Linked DNA regions of Ovis aries. The protein of the gene in region 1 purifies or fractionates together with the protein of each later gene. This does not show direct contact. Links are inferred from orthologs where the notes say so. Each region holds a gene or a part of one and is shown on either strand. Other genes may lie near its edges.

What was found.
Region 2: the proteins of TCOF1 (region 1) and ARRB2 purify together in Homo sapiens (affinity purification with western blotting; 4 studies listed by BioGRID and IntAct, with this or other methods). This does not show direct contact. The link is inferred for Ovis aries from reciprocal best matches to the Homo sapiens genes TCOF1 and ARRB2.

Annotation. Positions count from the first base shown.
Region 1 is NC_056058.1:59,469,037-59,484,840, reverse strand, and holds the start of TCOF1 (treacle protein), read right to left. Parts: upstream 12,887-15,804; 5' UTR 12,837-12,886; coding exon 12,729-12,836; intron 10,358-12,728; coding exon 10,302-10,357; intron 7,509-10,301; coding exon 7,360-7,508; intron 4,711-7,359; coding exon 4,637-4,710; intron 3,823-4,636; coding exon 3,636-3,822; intron 3,073-3,635; coding exon 2,999-3,072; intron 1,306-2,998; coding exon 1,093-1,305; intron 295-1,092; coding exon 103-294; intron 1-102.
Region 2 is NC_056064.1:26,515,312-26,518,291, forward strand, and holds the end of ARRB2 (beta-arrestin-2), read right to left. Parts: coding exon 2,913-2,980; intron 2,634-2,912; coding exon 2,496-2,633; intron 1,771-2,495; coding exon 1,687-1,770; intron 1,585-1,686; coding exon 1,505-1,584; intron 1,427-1,504; coding exon 1,339-1,426; intron 1,058-1,338; coding exon 964-1,057; 3' UTR 501-963; downstream 1-500. UniProt on the Homo sapiens protein: Functions in regulating agonist-mediated G-protein coupled receptor (GPCR) signaling by mediating both receptor desensitization and resensitization processes.

The DNA.
Region 1 (15,804 bases):
ACGTGGCCCTTGCGTGGCCAGGGCACGTGGAGTGGGAGAATCAGCCCTCAGGAGGCCTCCTGGGGTGGGTGCCAGCTCCGGGGCCCTCTCTCCAGGTCCCACCTGCACTGGGGTCTTGACAGCTTGTGTCTCCTCCTCGCTGTCTGACTCCTCGCTGCTGCTCTCCGAGTCCTCCTCTGGCTTCCCTAAGGGCCCTGCCTTCCCAGGGGCTGCTGGGGTGGCCCCTTTCCCAGGGGTCCCCTTGGCAGGACTAGGAGCAACTCTGATTGGGGTGGTTTTCTCCAAGGCCTTCACCTGGTAAAAGAGAAAGCATGGTTTGTTCATTTCTTTCTGAAAACTCTCTTGTGATGTCTTAAGAATAAAGCCTGAGCCTTTAGTGAGGCTCACGAGACCCCTTCCTTCTCTCCCCACTCCCCGCTTTGACTGATACTCCAGCCAGTATGGCTGGCCAGCCAGATGGCCGTATCTCCTCATTCCTGGGGCCCTCACAACCCCTGTCCGTATCACCTGGGTACCAGATAAGATAGCAGTTCCTTATACTGGTTTTCCGTGATGGCCAAGCTGGATAGGCTCCTCACCTGGGCAGGCTCAGGGCTCTAGGGGCCTTTTACCACCAGTCTGCCCCTCATCCTTGCTGCTCTCTGATTCCAACAGTTTCCCAGTGCCTCTGGTTTTCCCTCAGGACATGCCCGGCTGCAGCTCTGGCCACCCATGCAAGAAGGGGGTCCGAGCAGATGGAATAGAGCTGGATTTCTGTTTGCTAACAAGCCATGATTTGGCCTGAGAAGCCAGAGGGCCAGGTAACTAAAACTTCTCAAGTTCCTTCACAGCAGGACCAGCCGGGACAAAGACAGCAGCCTGTTTTCCAGACAGGGGAACTGAGGGGAAGGGGGTGCTGGGCGGGGTTCTTCCCTTTGGGCAGGAAGGGCAATTTCCAGGAGCAGCTGAGGCAGAGTCAGGTGACCTTGCCCTTCACCTCCCAGAGCCCCGCCTCCCTCTCCCCAAACTCCAGAGCCAGTGTCCTCTGGCAGCGGAGGTGCTCTTTACATAGCTGCCCCGGAACCGGAGGAGCGGGCCTCCCTTGGGCCTCACCGGGGCCTCCTCCTCACTCTCATCGGACTCCTCGCTGCTCTCTGAGACCTCTTCTGGCTTCTTGGCCCTGCTGGCTGGGGTTACAGCACCGCCTTTGACTTGGGGTGTCACAACCCCTGCCTTCCCTGGAGTTGGGGCTGCACTTTTTCTCGGAGACTCCTTGACTGCAGTGGCTGAGGCTCTGACCTGCAGTGGTTTTACTGCGGCTTTCACCTGGAACAAGAGCATGGGATCAGAGAATAACCCTGTCTGCCATTGAGGAGTGTAAGATGCTTCATAGTCTGTAACGCTCTGTCTTAATGCCATCTCATTCTCAACTCCCTAAGATACCATCTTTACACCCATTTTCCGGAAAAAGACAAAAGGCTCAGAGAGGTTAAACCACTAACGCTGATAATAAGGGGCAGAATGCTCAACCACAAACCTCCTCTACCTCTTGGCACACAGGGCTCAGTGGAGGGGTAGTCTCTCACAAGCAGGACAGCTCATACTTGTCTACCCCTCCAAATATTAACACAGTATCTGATCATGGTGGCTACCACAAGGGCCAAGAGGCCAGGGCCTGAACTCTAGTCTTGGCACCAGCCTGCTGAGATTCCTGGGGCACCCCCCCTCCCCTCTCTGGGCTCTGGCCCACTGAAGCTATGTGTTTGGCTGCTGGCTTCCAGGGCCAGGTGTGTGTGCCTTCCCTCGACAGAGCCTGGACATGGAAGCCCAGGGTGCCTGGACTGTATAACTGGCTGTAACTAGGGCCCAAAGGTGGGATGGAATGTGAGAAGCAGCCCACAGTTAGGTCTGCATCTTCAGGGGTTACTGGTTGAGGTGGGAAGGTAAGGTAGGAAGCCCCATGGGTGCCAGGTCAATTTGATCCCCGAATCCTATTGTTCTCTCTCCCCATCTCTCCGCTGGGTGCCCTGGTGCCAGCCTTCAGCATCTCCTGCCAGCATTACTCCAACAGCCCTCAGCCATCTCACTGCACTTATGAAGCACCGTCCTCCAACCCAGGCCACAACCAGTGATGTTTTGGAACCATAAATCAGGCCATCTCACCTGTGTGCCTGCAAGCCTGCAAGGTTTCCCACAGCCACCAGGACAAAACCCAAACTTCTCTCAGTGGGCCTCACGGTCAGGCACCAATCTGGCCCTGCCTCCCTCGACTTCATCTTACGTCACTCTCCCCTTCATGACCCTGCGGATCCCTGTTCCTGCAAAGCACCAAGTCTGCTGTGTCCGTCCTGCCGTGCTGCCCCTCTGCCCGCATTGCATCCCTGTTACTGCCCCTCGCGGCTTTCTGCGTTTCCTGTTCATACCAACCATCACCACTGCAGTTAAATTTCTGAGGGTCCCTTTCACTCCCCCACGGCAGCAGGAACCTGCCTGCCACCTGGAAGGTGCACACTAAGGAATAACCTGCAGAGACTCCAGGCCACGGTTCCCGGAAGAGCCGAGGCCACGGACTTCCTCAGGCAGTGCTGAGACCCAGCACTCACCAGCAGACCCAGAACCTCCTCAGCAGTCTGACCCCAGACAGCCACACTCCTGACCCCATGGCCTTTGCTCGTGCAGCTTTTCCTGCTCGAATACTCACACCCCAACATGCCCACCCGGTGGAGCCCCCTGTGCGTCAGGCCCTGGTCCCGTGCCGTCTCTCCGAGAAAGTCTGCCCCCGCCTCACAGGGAGGATGGTGTCTCTCCCCACCAACTCCAGGCCCTCTTCCTGCCCAGAGCACAGTGAAAATCTGGCTCCCAACCTGCCCAGGCTCAGCCTTCCAGCTCCCGGTCACCCCAAAACACCCACTGAATGGGGAGAGGTGACACCGGTACCACTGGGAGGTGAGGCCTCTGGCCAGGCCCCAGGAGGGTTAGAGGTTTGCAGAGGGCTGCTCTGAGGATGGGTGGCAATTACCTCCAAGTCCGTCTCATCGCTCGAGCTGGTGGTATCCTCACTGGAGCTATCAGCCTGGTCGGCAGATGCCATTCCTGAGGGATAAACAAGGAGGGGACTGAGGGCCAACCCTTTATAGACACGCCTGCCTCTCGTTGGCACCCTCCACGCCAATTACTCAGGGCCAGGTATGAGTGCAAGCTCCTGCACCCATGGAGGACGAACAGCTGAGGGGCATACCACACTGCCCCCCGCCCCCACCACTCCTGCACAGCCGAAGGGCTGGTAAGAGGTGTAACAATAGGTCCTGACACACAAGCGCCAGCACCTGGGGGCTTAGAAAACCTCCTTCCCCTATCACAGGGAAAATACCTATTTTACATGCGATACAGAGGCAAACCCAGGCCTCTCACCTTAGCGTCTAAGCCTCCGTGGAAGGCACTGGTACCCACCTGAGAGCAATAAACCAGAAAATGCTCCAACCCCACCCCGGCTGCTCACATTCCCTCAGCAAAGCCTGAGGTGTCCCTATAGCAGATTCTCTCTCACCCAGGGGAGGAGAAAGTGGCCTGAGGCGGTGGTCCTCGCCGTCATGGAGACAACCACCTAAGTTCCAGAATGTCCCGGGGGCCTGGCCCTAGAGGTTGGGGCTCCTTACCAGGCGTGGCAGCGGTTCTGAGAGCTGACACGCTGCCCTCCTCCTCAGTTTCTGACACCAAGACAGCATTTGCCGAGGGCCCCGTCGTCTTCTGGGGTGACTTCCCAGTGAGGAGGTGGGCCACTGCCTTTCCCGGGGCAGGGTGTGTCGTGGAGTTCACCGTCTTGCTGGCTTTCGTGGTCTTTGCCTACAGAGAACAGGAGTGACAGCCACTGGGTATGGTCAGGTGGATAAGAGCACAGACCACATCAGCTCCCACCTCTGCCACTTCCCAGACCCATGAGCTTGGACACATGACCTCCCTGAGCCTCTGTTTCTTCATCTCTGAAGTTACGGATTCATCACCAACCTGTGGCCAGTCAAGGGGGAGCTGAAAACGGTACCTCCCCTCGCAGAGGTGTGAACTGAATTACAGTTCTTAGGACACAGCAGTTTCGCTAAGCGGTAAGTAGCAATTTATTGTGGATGTTATCATGGCCTCGTGATTATTTCTACATATTTTTTGCTAATGCTTGAGTCAGTATCTGGGACACAGTCCTTTCCATGTCTGAGACACCACTTTGTGGATGACCGGAAAACGATATTCTGCCTTCCAAGTAGTTTCCAGCCTAGAAAATGCTTCTCGAGCTTTCAAAGCCACAGGTGTCTTGTTTGCTATGGTGTCTCCACTGCCTCATGTAGCCCCTGGAACATAACTGTATTGGTAATGACTTTCTGAGTGAAGAGCTGAATGCAGGGCCGGAAGAGGACAGGAGCCGTCTACCCCAGGTATGCCAGGTGCCCAATGGCTCACAGCAGTAGGCATCATCCCCATCTTACAGACAAAAACCCGAGGCCCGGAGAGGTGCATGGGACACACCATGATCACACAGCTGGTGACTGAGATCCGAATCCAAGCTGGGCAATTACCCACAACCCAGTTCTTCTCTGATGCCAGGGAACATGTCCTACAGGGCACCTCACCTCCCATGGGTGACAGCCTGGAAGATGGTCCCACTCACCTTGGCTTTTTCTTTCACACTTGAAGACGAAACTGTCCCTGTGACTGAGGAGTTGGTAGCTGCTAATCTCGGGGCTGCAAGACACAAATACCCATTGGGTGAGCCAGACCAGCCTTTTCTCAGGGAAGAAGAAAGGTTTCAGCTCACATAACAATTCAATTTGTATGGCTGCCTGGTGTTGGCATGAGATTTGAGGCTGAGCCTGGACTGAGGAAGGGCTCAGTGGTGCTCAACCACATCCCCCAGGAGCAAGAGAGAGTGGTGACATGGAAGTCGGCTGACTACACCCCCAATGGGGTTCCAGCTTCCTGGAGGCTGGAGATACCGAGGGCCCCAGAGGAAACGGGATTGGCTCCCAGACCTACTGCATACTACCCTGGAGGCCCGAACAACTCCAGGGATGCCATTCCCACAGGCCATCTGCCACACTGCAGCCCAGAACGCCATTTAGCAAGATAGAGGCAGGTCATGCAGCCCCAGGTCCACAGAGAAAGCTGCTCGAATTTAAACCATGTCCCAGTGGGTGGGGAGCTGAACTAAAAGACTGGAATCTTGTTAGATGTCAGTTTCCAGACCCTTTTTGCCTTGATACCAGGATACTGTCTCCTTTGAGCTCAGGTTAGGGAAAGGTTTCTAACGTATGCTGTGAAATAAAGAAGATGCTGTTGGGGGCTTCCCTGGTGGTCCAGTGATTAAGAATTCGCTTGCCGATGCTGGGGACACAGGTTCAGTCCCTGGTCCGAGACGATCCCACATGCCGTGGAGCACCTAGGCTTATGCACCACAACTGCTGAGCCTGTGCTCTGCCGCGAGGAGCCTGTGCAACCAAACAAGAGTAGCCACCCCCTCACTGCAACTAGAGAAAACCTCGAGCACAGCAAGGAAGACCCACCACAGCCAAAGACAAATGAATAAATAAAGCCAAGAGAAAACAAGTGTTGATTAGGTTAAAAAATATGATGCTGTTGAGAGGAATTACATGATCTAATTCTTCTCCTGACATTTAATTCCATCTCTCATTTTTTTTTTTTTTTCTCCAACTTATTGGCTGAGCTGGGTCTCTGTTGCTTTTCTCTAGCTGCAGAGAGCAGGGCTACTCTCCAGTTGTGGTGCGTGGGCTTCCCAGCGTGGGGGCCTCTCTTGTTGCAAAGCACACGCTCTAGAGCACAGGTCCAATAGTCGTGGTGCACAAGCTTAGCTGCTCCGTGGCACGTGGGATCTTCCCGGACCAGGGACTGAACCCACGTTTTTTGCCCTGGCAGGCAGTCTCTAACACTGAGCCACCAGGGAACCCCTTTCTTGATTTTTAATTCTGGAACATTTTAGGCCCGTTCATAAGTACTGAGGAAGAGGACTAAGCCACCCAACCCCAACCATTACCAACTTGTGGCCAATCTTATTTCAACTGTACCCCGCATTCATCCATCCCAGTGAGTATTATCCTGAAGAATACACCAGACATCATATTACGTTGCCCAACAATATTTCAGCAGGTTTCTTTCAATGAGGGCTCTTAAAAAGTATAATTATAATTCCATTATTACAGCTTAAAAAATTCATTAATATTGAGTAAGCAGTCAGTAGGCAGTTATACAGCTTTTGTTTCGAATAGTTTGTAAGTATGGATGTAGGCCTGTACGGATGTCTATCTGTTTGAGTGCAGATGCAAAGGGGAGCGTCATCAGCATCGTCAGGCTACCTTCCAGGAGATGCATTTAGGGAAAAGAAAGGGAGCAGACAAGGGGAACAGAAAACCTCCCACTTCTCTTCTGTATGTTTTGTAGAGTTCACAGAGAACTTGTTTTGCATTATAATTTTCAAAGATTAAGCAAAGTATAACATACATATTCAGTATGATAGCCAATATTTGAAAAAAACATGCTCAGGAAAAATAAATGGAAGAATAATTTGCCAAATTATACGTGGCCAAGAATATGGGTAATTTTCCACTACCTCTCTAAAAAGTCATTTTCACATATTCTATAATGAATATAATGAAGCCTGTATTTCTTTTACAATGAGAAAATATATTTAAAAATTAAGAAGTTACCTTCTATGTAAGTAAAAACCAACAATGCAGAGAATGGTAATTCTTCTGTGGAGCTGTGACCACTGTTGGTTAAAGCACAAACTAGCTGGAGAACGGGGATAGGAGGGGGCTGTGAAGGCCTCACAGGGTGGCCCCTGCCAACGCACTGGAACCAGGGTGCCTGGGACAGCGTACAGGTGCTAAACCTGCTCCCTTCAGAGAGGCAACTGCTGAAATAGCCCCTGAGCACACAGAAGAGGGGCCTGCCAGCTGCTGTCTCTGAAATCTCTCTCGCAGTTCTTCTGAAAATGAAAGCTGCTCTTCTGTTTTTACCAGACTTATCTAGAAGGCTTAAAAAAATGCAGTTCCTGGACTGGAGAGGCTGACTCTCTACATGCCTCTAGACTCTAAGAGCCCATTCCTGTTTTTGTTCACCACTGGATTCCTAGCACCTGGGACACAATGTCTGGCCCAGAGGAAGGGCTCAAATCAAGACTAAAATAGGTATGTGGGGCTCTTACAACCTTCCCTCTAAAAGGACCTGGTCCTCCAAGGGCTCACAGAAGGTGAAGCTGGAGGTGGACTCTCCCTTGGAACAATCCAATATACAACAGCCGGTCCCCGAGAGGTGCAGGGTACTACACCGAGCCCCTGGCTCAGAGACAGGGGCCCTCTCAGCACCCAGGACTCTTACTGGGTTTGGTGGTTTTGGCTTCTGCCTCCTCCTCCTCCTCCTCCTCTTCCGAGCTCTCTGAGCTGCTGATGGGGTCTGACACGCGGGTCCTCTTGGCCTGCAAGGCCGCATCTTCCTCTGCCTTCCGTTTCCGGCCAATCTCCGAAGTTCTGCAGGACAAGGGTGACTGGCAAGCTCAACCAGGGGGCAAGGACAACCCTAGGATAGTTGAAAAGGAAGACCTCCCACATCCTCCCTGACCCCAAAGGGAAAGTGTATAAAGAGACTTTAAACAGTGATGAAACAGAGTGGAGAAACAATTTCGTGTTGTGCATCTTCACTCATTTCACTGTATTTTTACAGTTTATCTTCAAACACTCAGGAAGGGTGGGCAGTATTTTCTAACAGCCGCTAAGAGTCACAGAGCTCTAAGCGCCAGCACTGTATACACTTCACAGAATCATCCAGGTCCCTCCTTCCTTCAGGACTTGTGGCACCCACAGTCACCTCCTCTTGGAAGACTGCCCAGGTCCCTGTTGTCCCTCAGGCCTCAACTGCAGTACAGCCTTCTCGGAAAGGCCTTCCCCAGTCACCACTGTCCTCTAAGATATTCTCCGCCCTGTTTCATTTTCTTCAGAGCACTTTTCTCTCTCCCATCGTTTTACTTAACTTCCTACTTGATGATGCCCCTACTGCATGCCCGGGGAGGGGAGGGCTGGCAGAACCTTTTCCAGCTCACTTCAGTACCTAGAGTACCTAGCCTAAGTCTCACGGCTAACTGACCTGCCCAGAGTCACAGTCTGAGGCTCTGGGGAGGACAAGCACTCAGATGGCTGAGGTGCCAGAATTTTCAAGCACCCCATCCTCTGAGCCCAGCCTCCTGCCCGAGGGGGTCACTGTCTGTGTGCCACACTCTCCATGTGGGACAGATGTCGCTCTGCCACAGTTTGGGATGTGCTGCCTGGCTCCCTTGTTCCCAGGAAGGCCACTTGTTGGGAAATCTACAAAAACATGTTTCATTTATCACACGTATAGGTTCACTCTGCCTCTCTTCTCCCCGTAGAACGTAACTTTCACAGGTGCAGAGATTTTTCTCTTCCAGTTTGTTTCCAACTACATCAAGAACAGTTCTGTCTCAAAGTAGGTGCTCAGTAAACAGAAGCGGGGAGAGGAGTAATGCCTCCACTGGCCAGGTTTAGCACTTTATTTACTATTATTATCTTCATTTTACTGAAGGAGACTAACTTGGGGAGATCAAGTTTGTCCAAGGTCATACAGCTGGGTTTGAACCACCAGGTTAGGCTGGTGGGTGTGAGGTCCTTGTCCAAGTCAGCACCGCTCATCCAGAGAAGGGGCTGGTGGTAGGGGAGGGTGTGAGGCACGGCTCAGTGAAGCACTTCTCTGGGGAAGGAAGTGCTGCACAAATAGCAGACACCTGGGCACGTGGAAGAGGAAGTGGGGGGTGTACCCTGTGCTCACCTTAGCAGCAGAGGAGAGCCAAGAACTGAGGGCTGACAGGGCTTGCAAAGACCTTAGCTCTCTACTGGAAGCTGGGATCCCTTCTCTACCATGCCCGCCTTTGCTTACACACCTCTGATGACAGGGATCTCACCACTCTACTGTAGCCCACCTCAGTTTTGGACAGCTCTGATGACCAACTGCTTTCACTCAGAAGCTGACACTTGGCTTCCTAAAGCAGGTTCACATGGGTCCCACTTCTCTCTCAGGCCCTAGGGAACACCCCACTCCCTTCGTCTCAAAACATGTGCAGATAGTGGTCCCTCCACTGCCCCTCTGCCATCTTTTTTCCACCCAGACAGTTGCATGTTCACTATCATTCCTCATGGGTCACAACTGCAGGTCCTTCACTCCCGTAGTTGGCTGTGGTCAGGCCAGTTCACTGAGGGAGCGATTACCCGCTCCTTCATTTTCAATCCATTCCTCTGTTGATAAGTCCTTGGATTATCCCCTCTCCTTGTTTTGCGTGTTTCACAGACATTTCACATTCAGCATGTCTTTGAAATCTTTCCCTCCACGTTGGGTTCCTTCCATTCAAGCATACAAGTCAGACACCTGGGAGCTGACTACACTGCTTCTCCAAACCATCTGCAGACCCTCATCTCATCCTCTGGTATTCCTGCACACTGTCTCCCTCGTATGTTATTCCTGCCTCAAGCCCTAGCAGCTCTTGTCTGGAGGCTGATATCCACAGCCTACCCAGTCGAGCCAGCGACCTCACCACTCTTCACTTCACCCGTCCATGGTTCTCAGGGCAAAGACACAACTTCTCCTTGTGGGTGATCAGGCCTGTCATGGGGTGGTCCCTGACGATTGTCTAGTCTCGTCTGCACTGCACAGCAGTTACAGCCTCAGACCAGCAGCTCCCTCTGCCAGCTACACTCCATCAGCCTTTCCACACCTATTGCCGAGTTCACCTCCCCACTCCTGCAGTTCTCAACTCAAAGGTCACCTCAAGGAAGCCACTCCTACACACCTAAATGAGGTGATGCTAACCTATTCAGGCAGTTTTGGCCCCAGGCACCTCTTTCATAATCCTCACCACCACTGTGATTTTATACTCATTTGTCTCATTCTCTGTGGCATGCTTACCTCCCTGACTCCAGTGTCAGCTCCAGGAAAGGAGCCACCATGCATGTCTCATTCATGACAATATCTCTGTACTGAGAGCCTGGCATTCAGCAGTTACTCAATAAATGCTCATTGACTGAATGAATAACAAGCTGCCAAGAAGCTCTTGTCCTTCAGAGACACTGCTCACAGTTCTCAGTGTCCTCTCTACTAGCAGACAGACACCCATATCTGTGGTGTAGCTTCCTAGAGGTGATAAAAGTATCTACAGTGGGTTACGGGGACAGATTTTAGACCAGATTAGTATCCTAGCTGATTTCATGCTGAGAGCTTGGGGTGTCCTTCTTGCACTCCCTCAGCCCCATTAGACTTACTGTTGCCAGTGTGTATAGATGTCCAGAAGGGTTACAGGCTGACTCAGGAAAATTTTCTGCAGAGAAGCAAAGAGAAAGCAGCAATTAACCCTCCTGAGTACAGCAAGGTTCCTCCTTGGGCCCCACGCTCATGACATCATGAACCACAGAGAGATGGTTGAGAAGGGGGTCTTTCTGCTCTGGGCAATACGTCTGCTCAGCCCTGCCAGGACCACCCGAACCTTTCAGAGACACACAGGGCAAGTACTTCCAACTAAAACCTTTTAAGACAATATTCTGGTGAGAAGTACCTTTGACAGAGTAGAGTGGGAATATTCCAAGCTAGCATTTATTCAGCCCCCAGCCTCCCTGGCACTCTCCAGGCTTAGGTGCCACAAGACAGGGCTTTTTCCACCCCTGACCTTTCAAAAGTCAAGCTGGTCAATTTCCCCAGGCAGTATGAACCACAGACTAGACAACCACGCTGTCTGCTCACCCACTGGGCAGAGACTGGAACCAAATGGTGCCAATCCTTTGGTAGAAGCAAAGCCCTCTGGAGCCAAGATCAGAAGTCTACTCTCTGCAAATGTCAAGAACCTGGAGTGTCAAGTGCCCCAAGGAGGCTGAGTGAGTAATGCAGGGCCAGGGATTTAAGCAGAGTGGCCAGGAGGGTGCATCTAGGGTCAGGCAAAGAGAATTAATTTGTTAACTGGATAGTCTACTGTCTTCAGCTCTTTAAAGCTGCAGGTTCTTTCTTTATATGGGGATAACAGCAGTACCCATCTAAGATGCTGCTCTCAGGCCTTAAGGAGACAGTCTACAATAGTAACTGCACAGCACAGCAGCCAGTAACATTCAGTCTGTAACTGACAGTGACTAAAAGTGTCAGTTTCACTTTCCTTGGCCCCAGGCACACTGGCCTCCTCACTGTCCCTCAAATCTGTCAGGGGACTCCGCCCCCATCGGGGCTGGCTGTTCTTTCTGTCTTGAATGCTCTCTCCTGCCAACTATATGGCTCACTCCTTCACTTTCTTCAGGTCCTCGCCCCAAAGTCACCTTCTCACTCGGGTTTCATGACCACCCTATAGATAATTTAACTCTGATATTCCTTATCCCTTCTACCTGCCTTATTTTTACACCTAGCACCTACCATCACCCCATACACTGTATCATTAACTTAAAAAAAAATTCAGTCATTTGTCTGTTCCTGCTGGAATATATGCTTCATGAGGGCAGGATTCTTTCGTCTAGGCAAATGCCCCAAAGAAGATAGGTACTCCCTTTTGTTCCCTGTAGCTGGTAAGTGATATAACTGAAGTAAGAAAAGCTACCGAGGTCCAAAGATTGGGAAAAGCACAGATGATGTCTTATTTGTCATCCTTTAGTCTCTCCCAGAGGTCCTGAGAGAAAGTATCATGACCAGAGCCTACACCATAGCCAGACAGACACCGACTAATCAAGTCAACAGACACCACACCAACTTAACACCTTCCAGTGGCTTACCACTACTTCACCAAAACCAAAGGAAGCCCACTTCCTGCCTCTGTCTCCCCAGAGATCTCTGTCACCCTTGTACTCCATACTTCAGTCACAATAAACTTTCTGGCGGCCAGTACATATGCAACACTTTGCATTCCTACTTGGAACATCCACTTCCTTCTCTCAGATCTCAAAGTAGCATTCACTTCCTCTGGAGAGCAGGTCTGGATATCCCTGACTAAGGCGATCTGCCATTCCTGTCTTAGCACCCTATGCTTCTCATTCTTGGCAGTTAATGCAGTGCTGAGTGCACAGTTACTTTTGTGGTCCTCTGATTTATGTCAATCTCCCCTAGCAGATTTAGCCTGTAAACTCTAATTAGTAAGCCAAGGGACCCTCCTCGCTATTCTATCGCCAGCACCCTCACTGCCAGATTAACAGCTGCTTGAGGGATGGATGAAGTAAGAGCGACTACACCACGAGTTCAACTCCCAATTAGTACAGAAAAGCTGCTAGGGGCTTGAGCTCCAGCTCAGTCAAGCAGCTTCAGGCCCCTTCTCGGGCGCTCTTTCGCTCCTTTCTGGGCTGGTAGCGATTCTCTCCTCAGACTCGCAGCAACCTTTTCGCCCTAGGGGGCCGCGCCGAGCCACGTGGCCTGATACTTCGAAATTTTAAATTGTCGCTCCCGGAAGGGGGTGGAGGTAAGGGGCGCGGGAATTATAAAGCCCAGAGCGTTCGGTCTCACTTCCCGGCCCGCCCACTCCACAGATAAGGAAAGTGAGGCCCAGAGGAACTGGGAGCCACAGAGGTGCGGGGCAGAGGTTGCGGCCCCTTCAGCACCCCGGGCCGCGTCCCAAAGCACAGTGGGATCCGGGATCTCGGCGCCCGCAGGCCGCCAGAGGAAGAGGCGCGGGCCGCCTCTCCATAGATCTTGCACGCGGCCCTTGGACACGGCCCGCGCACGCTTACCTGGCCGCTCTGCTCCTTCACTTCCCGCGCCGCACGCACATAGCCCGCCTGCAGCAGATGCTGGTAGATCAGGGGAAGGAGCTCCCGCCGCTTCCTGGCCTCAGCCATGCCCGCGACCCCCGGCCTGTCCGTTCACCTGCACGCCCCCCTCAGTCCCCGCCCGCCACTTCCCTTGTGCCCTTAGACCTCGCGACCCCCACTTCCGGCTCCTCCTCCGCCCGCCGCGCGGCACGCCGGGAAGCGTAGTCTTATCTCCAAAGGTGGCCGGCCCCGCCTCCGCGGATGAAAAGGGAGGAGGCATGGGAGGCATTGAGACCGCCTATTGGCGGGGAGGGCGGGAGTCGGATCCGGACTCGCCCCCTGGGCCGCCTAAGATTAGAATGCCTCCCTCTTAAATCCTTCAGCCTCGCTCCTTGAAGGCATTTGTCTTCCTCTTAGCTGTGTGACAGCTGTGATCGGATTTTACTCATCTCTGAATATCCTATTCTCCAGCTCTCTCTAGACTCGAACTTCCACTTACCCACTCATTTAATCATTTCACAAATCTTTTTAGAACGCATGAACCGGTGCTATTTGTCATCGTTCATTCATTCATTGAATAGTTATTGAGCGCCATACCTTCGGCAAGCGCTTAGGCTAGGCCTGCGGGATATATAAGATGTGGCAGCTGCCCTCAAAGCTCACAGGGAAGAGAGAGGCTGGTAATCGAGCAACTATGGTTCAAAGTCTTCTGCACATTGTCTGGGACAAGCACAGCCTATGGGAGAAAGGAGGGGCCCCTAACCCCAAGAGGGTATCTAAGCTGAGGCTTAAAGACAGAATAGGAGTTTCTAGGTGCAGAGGAGAGGGCTGGCATCCCAGGCAGAGGGCACTGCATGAATATAGACAGGAGAAACCACTTCGGTACAGGCCAGGAAACCCAAACATAAAACGCCGTCTGTGCTGCTGGACTGTTGAGTTGGAGGGTTGAGGGAACCAGTGTGGATGCAGAAGGATGGACAAGTTAACAGGGCCTTCAACACCCGCTCCACCTGGTCAGAGTTTGCACTTTGCTCCAAGGGCAATAGCCAGTCTCTGTCTGATTCTATGCAGGAGGGTGACTTGGGTTTGTGTTTTTTAAAGATTGCAATGGGGACTTCCCTGGTGGTCCAGCGGCTAAGACTCTGTACTCCCACCGCAGGGGGCCTGGGTTTGATTCCTGGTCAGAGAAGTAAAAACTGCATGCCACAACTAAGACTTCTCATGCCATAACTAAATAGTCCACATGCCTCAATGAAGATTGACGATCCTTCGTGCTACAAAGACCCAGCACAGCCAAAAAAAAAAAAAAAAGATTGCTATGACCAACGCATAGAGGATGGATTTTTGGAGAACAAAACTGGATGAGAGGGTGCTGTAGTTGTGGAGAGGAGATTGGCAGGGAGAGGGTGAGTTAGGCTGGGGAATATTTGAATCAGCTATTCTTTTTTTTCTTTTAACATATATTTAAAATTTTTATTTGGCTGTTCATTTATTTATCTATTTGGGTCTCCTTATTTATTTGGTCTTCTGCGCTAGGCCATCATTGCTACCCGCAGCCTTTCTTTAGTTGTAGTGCTTGGGCCTCTCACTGTGGCAACGGCTTCTCTTCCTGCGGATCAGGGGCTCTAGGGCACTCTAGGGTGTCAGAGGTTACGGTATGTGGGATCTAGAGCATGGGCTCCGTAGCTGTTGGTACACGGGCTTAGTTGCTCCCCCAAAACAGGGATCGAATTCATGCCTCCTGCATTGGCAGTCAGATTCTTAACCGCTGGACCAACAAGGAAGTCCTGAACCAGCCGTTCTTAACTTCATGTGTCCATCGAGAAAATGAAGAGAGCAAGAAGCACCTAACGTTTGCTGTAGAAAATTCTAAAGGTGTACAGACACATAACGTTTTCCGTCCAATTTTAGGATACGGGGTAAGCACATACCTGACCACCCTAGGCTTAGGAACGATTGCTCCAGGAAGAAATAGGGACAGGACCAGGTAACTGATGGAATATGGTAAGTGAGGAAGAGAGGGGAGACTAATCTACATTCAGCTATTTAGCAAATATTTATTGAACAACTACTGTTGGAAATAAAACTGTCTCCACGCCAACAGAGCTTATAGTTCAACGGGGAGACGTAACCTAACAAATACATATAATTTGTTACATGCATTTTGTTATTTATATTGTTTTTGTTATTAAACACATACAAATACATTGTTACAAGCGGTGAGTAAGTGTAGAAAAGAAAAGGATAGAGTTTTTTTCTTATGGAAGAGGAGTATTTAAAAGCTATGCTGGAGTCATTCTGCCCAGGTTCAAACTCCTGCTTTGTCTCTTATTAACTAGGTGACCTTCGCTAAGTTACATAACTTCTTGGTGCCTCAGTTTCTTCACTCATAAGATAGAGGTAATTATAGTTTCTACCTGATAGGGTTGCCATGAGGAGTAAATGAGTTCTAAGCAGAAACGCACAGAAAATTTCCAAGAATAGTACTGCACTTGTGTGTCCATTAGCCGTCACCATGAAATCATCTGACAGGATGACAGGATCTATCTCTGCTTGGGGGTCAGGGAAGGATTCCCTGAGGAAGTGATCTTTGTGAGGACCTCTGAACTATGTGAGGGGAGAGTGGGGTAGGGGGAAGAATCCTAGGCAGAATAACGGACCTGTGCAAAGGGCCTGAGGTGGAAGGTACCACTGAGAGAAGAGGTGAGAAAATGCCTTCGTGACAGGGCCCAGAGGGAGCGCAGGGGGATTGGGGAGTTTAGAAGGAGGGCAGAGGCAGGTTCTGTATCGAGAATCTTTCTCTTCATCCTCAGAGATTTAGGAAGCCACTGACAGTGTAGGTCCAAGAAGGATAGGATGACATTTGCATTTTAATGTGACCCCTGTAGGCAGAGAGTGGAATGGGGTGTGTGTGTGTGTGAGTAGCTGCAAGATGACAGGTTAGGGTTAGGAGGGCAGGCAGGCATCCGGGGAGACTATCACAGGGGTGGTGCTGATGGCAGTACAGGTGGAGGGCTGTGGAAGGTTCCAGGTATCAGGAAGTAAAATCATCAAA
Region 2 (2,980 bases), on another chromosome or scaffold:
GCCTGAAGCCTCAGCTTCTGTGTGACAGTGTAAGTACCAGGCTCCACAGAGATGTCAGTCGTGTAGCTTCTGCCTGCAGCTGTGGCCCCGCCAAGCCCCAGGAACAGACAGTGGGAGCAACCACACAGAGCAGTGGAAACAGCTCAGCCACAACAGGTCACCCCGTGGTCGTGTATGTTAGCCCCAACAGGGACGGGGCTGCCCTGCCCACCTCCCACAAGCATCTAGTCTGTGGGAAAGTGAGTTGTTATTCCCTCTGTAAATGAGAGAGTTTGCTCTGTGGTTTTATCAAACTGCCTTTGAGTCGGGACTGACCAAATCAAGTTTCTGTGTTCACCTTGGGGCACAGGTACAGTTCAGCCATTCCGTAAATGTTTATTGACAGCCTGTGGGCCAGGTGCCACGTGGGTGCAGAAAAGGGACTGAGTCTCACAGCTGACAGTCACGGATGAGCACACGATGCACTCCTTAAACGCCGCTCAGAAAACACACGCACTCCGGCCTATTAAAAGGTTTATTTTCTTCTTTATGCTCAGAAACAATGAAGTGGTCTTGCCCCCCAAAGGGTCTCATCCTGAAGGAATGGGAGGCAGAGAGAGTGACAGGAGGGGGTGTAGGTGTGAGGTTGAATGTGGGAGTGCTTTCCCCCTCTTTTCCTATTATCACTCCTCTTCGGCTCCCCCTCCAAAAAATTGAGGTGTGAACACAGCTTGCCACCCACTGGGGGACTGGGGAAGCACAGCTGAAGTCAAAAAATTAATGCCCATGTTCCACAAGAGCTGGGTCCAGTGCGTATCTGGTGGGGGGTGGGGGAGTGGGGGGGGGGCATTGGTCGAGGAAGCCGCTGGGTGGAGGGGAAGGGAAGAGGGACTGGGATCCCCCTCAGTGACAGTGGGGGTCTTGGTCCTGCCTCCACCTGCCCCCCCGCCCCTGCCATCCACTCCCTTCTTCCAGCCTCCCTTCCTAGCAGAACTGGTCGTCGTAGTCCTCATCCTTCAGCCCCTTGAGCCGCAGTCGGGCAAAGTCCTCAAACACAATGTCGTCGTCTGTGGCATAGCTTGGTGGTAGAGAGGAGGGGGTGAGGTGGGGGCCCTAGGCCTCCTCCACCTCCCAGTCCCCTCCCCTCCCAGAGACAGAGGCGCCGGCCAGAGCAGCCTTGGGACTGGAGATGTTTGCAGAAGGGACAGAGAAGGGGTGGTAGTTGGCAGCTCATTAGCCTAAGTCCTCTCAATTGGATGCTTCAACCATCCCGCCTCCCAAAGGGAAAAATAGGGTAGATCTGAATGTTACAGGAATCTGTCCAGAGAGTCAACGCTTGAAGGGGTGGGGCACTCTTACTTGGTATCGAATTCAATGAGGTTGGTGTCCACAGGGGCATCTGTTTCAGGAGCAGCTGAGGGGAGGAGAGCCGGGGGGTGGGTGGGTACTAAAAGGACCAGCTTTCCTCTCCGCTGGCCTTGCTTCAGACCCTCCCTTTGTGGGCTTGGGTGGGTGGCAGGCTCACCTGATTGGGGCCTGGGAAGGGCGATGTGATCATGGGGCTTGGGGTGCATGAGAACAAAAGGCAGCTCCACTGAGACGTCCCTGGGATTGGGGGAGAGGTGGCAAGAAGAGATGATAGTGCAGAGCCAGAGGAAACCCCTGTGCCCCACCCCACCCCCAGGCTCCCCCCAGCCCAGCACTCACCCGCCTCGAGATACCACCAGCTTCACCTTGACCCTGTAGGACACCAGGATCCCCAGCACCTCCTTGTTGGCACCCTCCTTCACGCTGCAGTTGGGGGAAGGGGTTGGACCAGAGCCCACTGCTCTGCCCACTGCCCACCCCGGGGCCCCCATGAGGAGGCGGACTACAGATACCAGCATGCTCATGTCACGTAAAGTACTCTGCTGTGGTCCTTCTCATCGCTCTCTCAGTAAAAGCCCAAGTCCTTACAGCCCAGCCACCCTGCACTGTCTTGCTCTCCATCAGCCCTCTGACCCCACTTCCAGCTCCCAGGCTGGCCTCCAAGGCTTGCTGTGTGTGGTCGTGTACAGAGGGGTGGGGAGGGGTGAAATCCAGCCCCTACTTTATGAAGCTGTTGCCCCTAGAGGGCCTGCCTCAGACACCCGGGTGGTCCACCTCAGGGTCTTTGTGCCTGCGGTACCCTCTGCCTGGAGCGCTCCTGCCCTGCACATCCACATGACATACTCCCTTGGCGTCTTCACCCAGAATCCACCTCTGGATCAGGCCTCCCCATCCCTTCTACCACCCTCCCCTTTATATCTCCCATGTCAGTCTTGCTTTTTCTCCTTAACACCTGTCACTAAACACACTACACATTCTGTCCTGTATCTGATTTGTCTGGCCTCCCTCTGAGAACAGGAGAGGTGTTTGGGATCTATTCAGTGATAGAGCCCTGGCCCCGGGGACAGAACCTGGCACACAGCCGCACAGAATGGGTGTCTAGTTTCCTGCGCTGCAGCCAGCCCCCCTCCCTGCCGACTCCCCCTCACATGGTGCTGGACGCCAGGTTGGTGTCCTCGTGCTTGAGCTTCCCATCCAGGGCGAGGCCGCGCTTCTCCCGGTTGTTGCTGAGCAGGGGGGTTATGGTGTACACCTTACAGAATGTGGAACTGGGTGACACCTGGTCACTGCAGGGTGGGGACAAGAGAGGGAGACTCTGAGGGGGCAGGCGGGGCAAGGGGGCAGCTCCCACCCCCAGCGGCCTCTCCCGCATCACCAGCCCCTCCTCTCTGTGGGCACGGGTCACAAGGAGTAGGTTTTGGCTCAAGCTGCTCAAGAAAACGGGCAGCTCAGAGCCACCCTCAGACTGGAGGGAATGCCCTTGTAAGTTGAGACAGTTTGAGAAGAACCACCCACGTCCCCATGTTCCCAGGGCCCACCCTTCCCAGGGCTGTTCTGCTACTCACTCTTGTTCAACCTGAGCCACGGGACACTTGTACTGGGCAGTGCTGAAGAGGCAGATGTCGGCGTACTG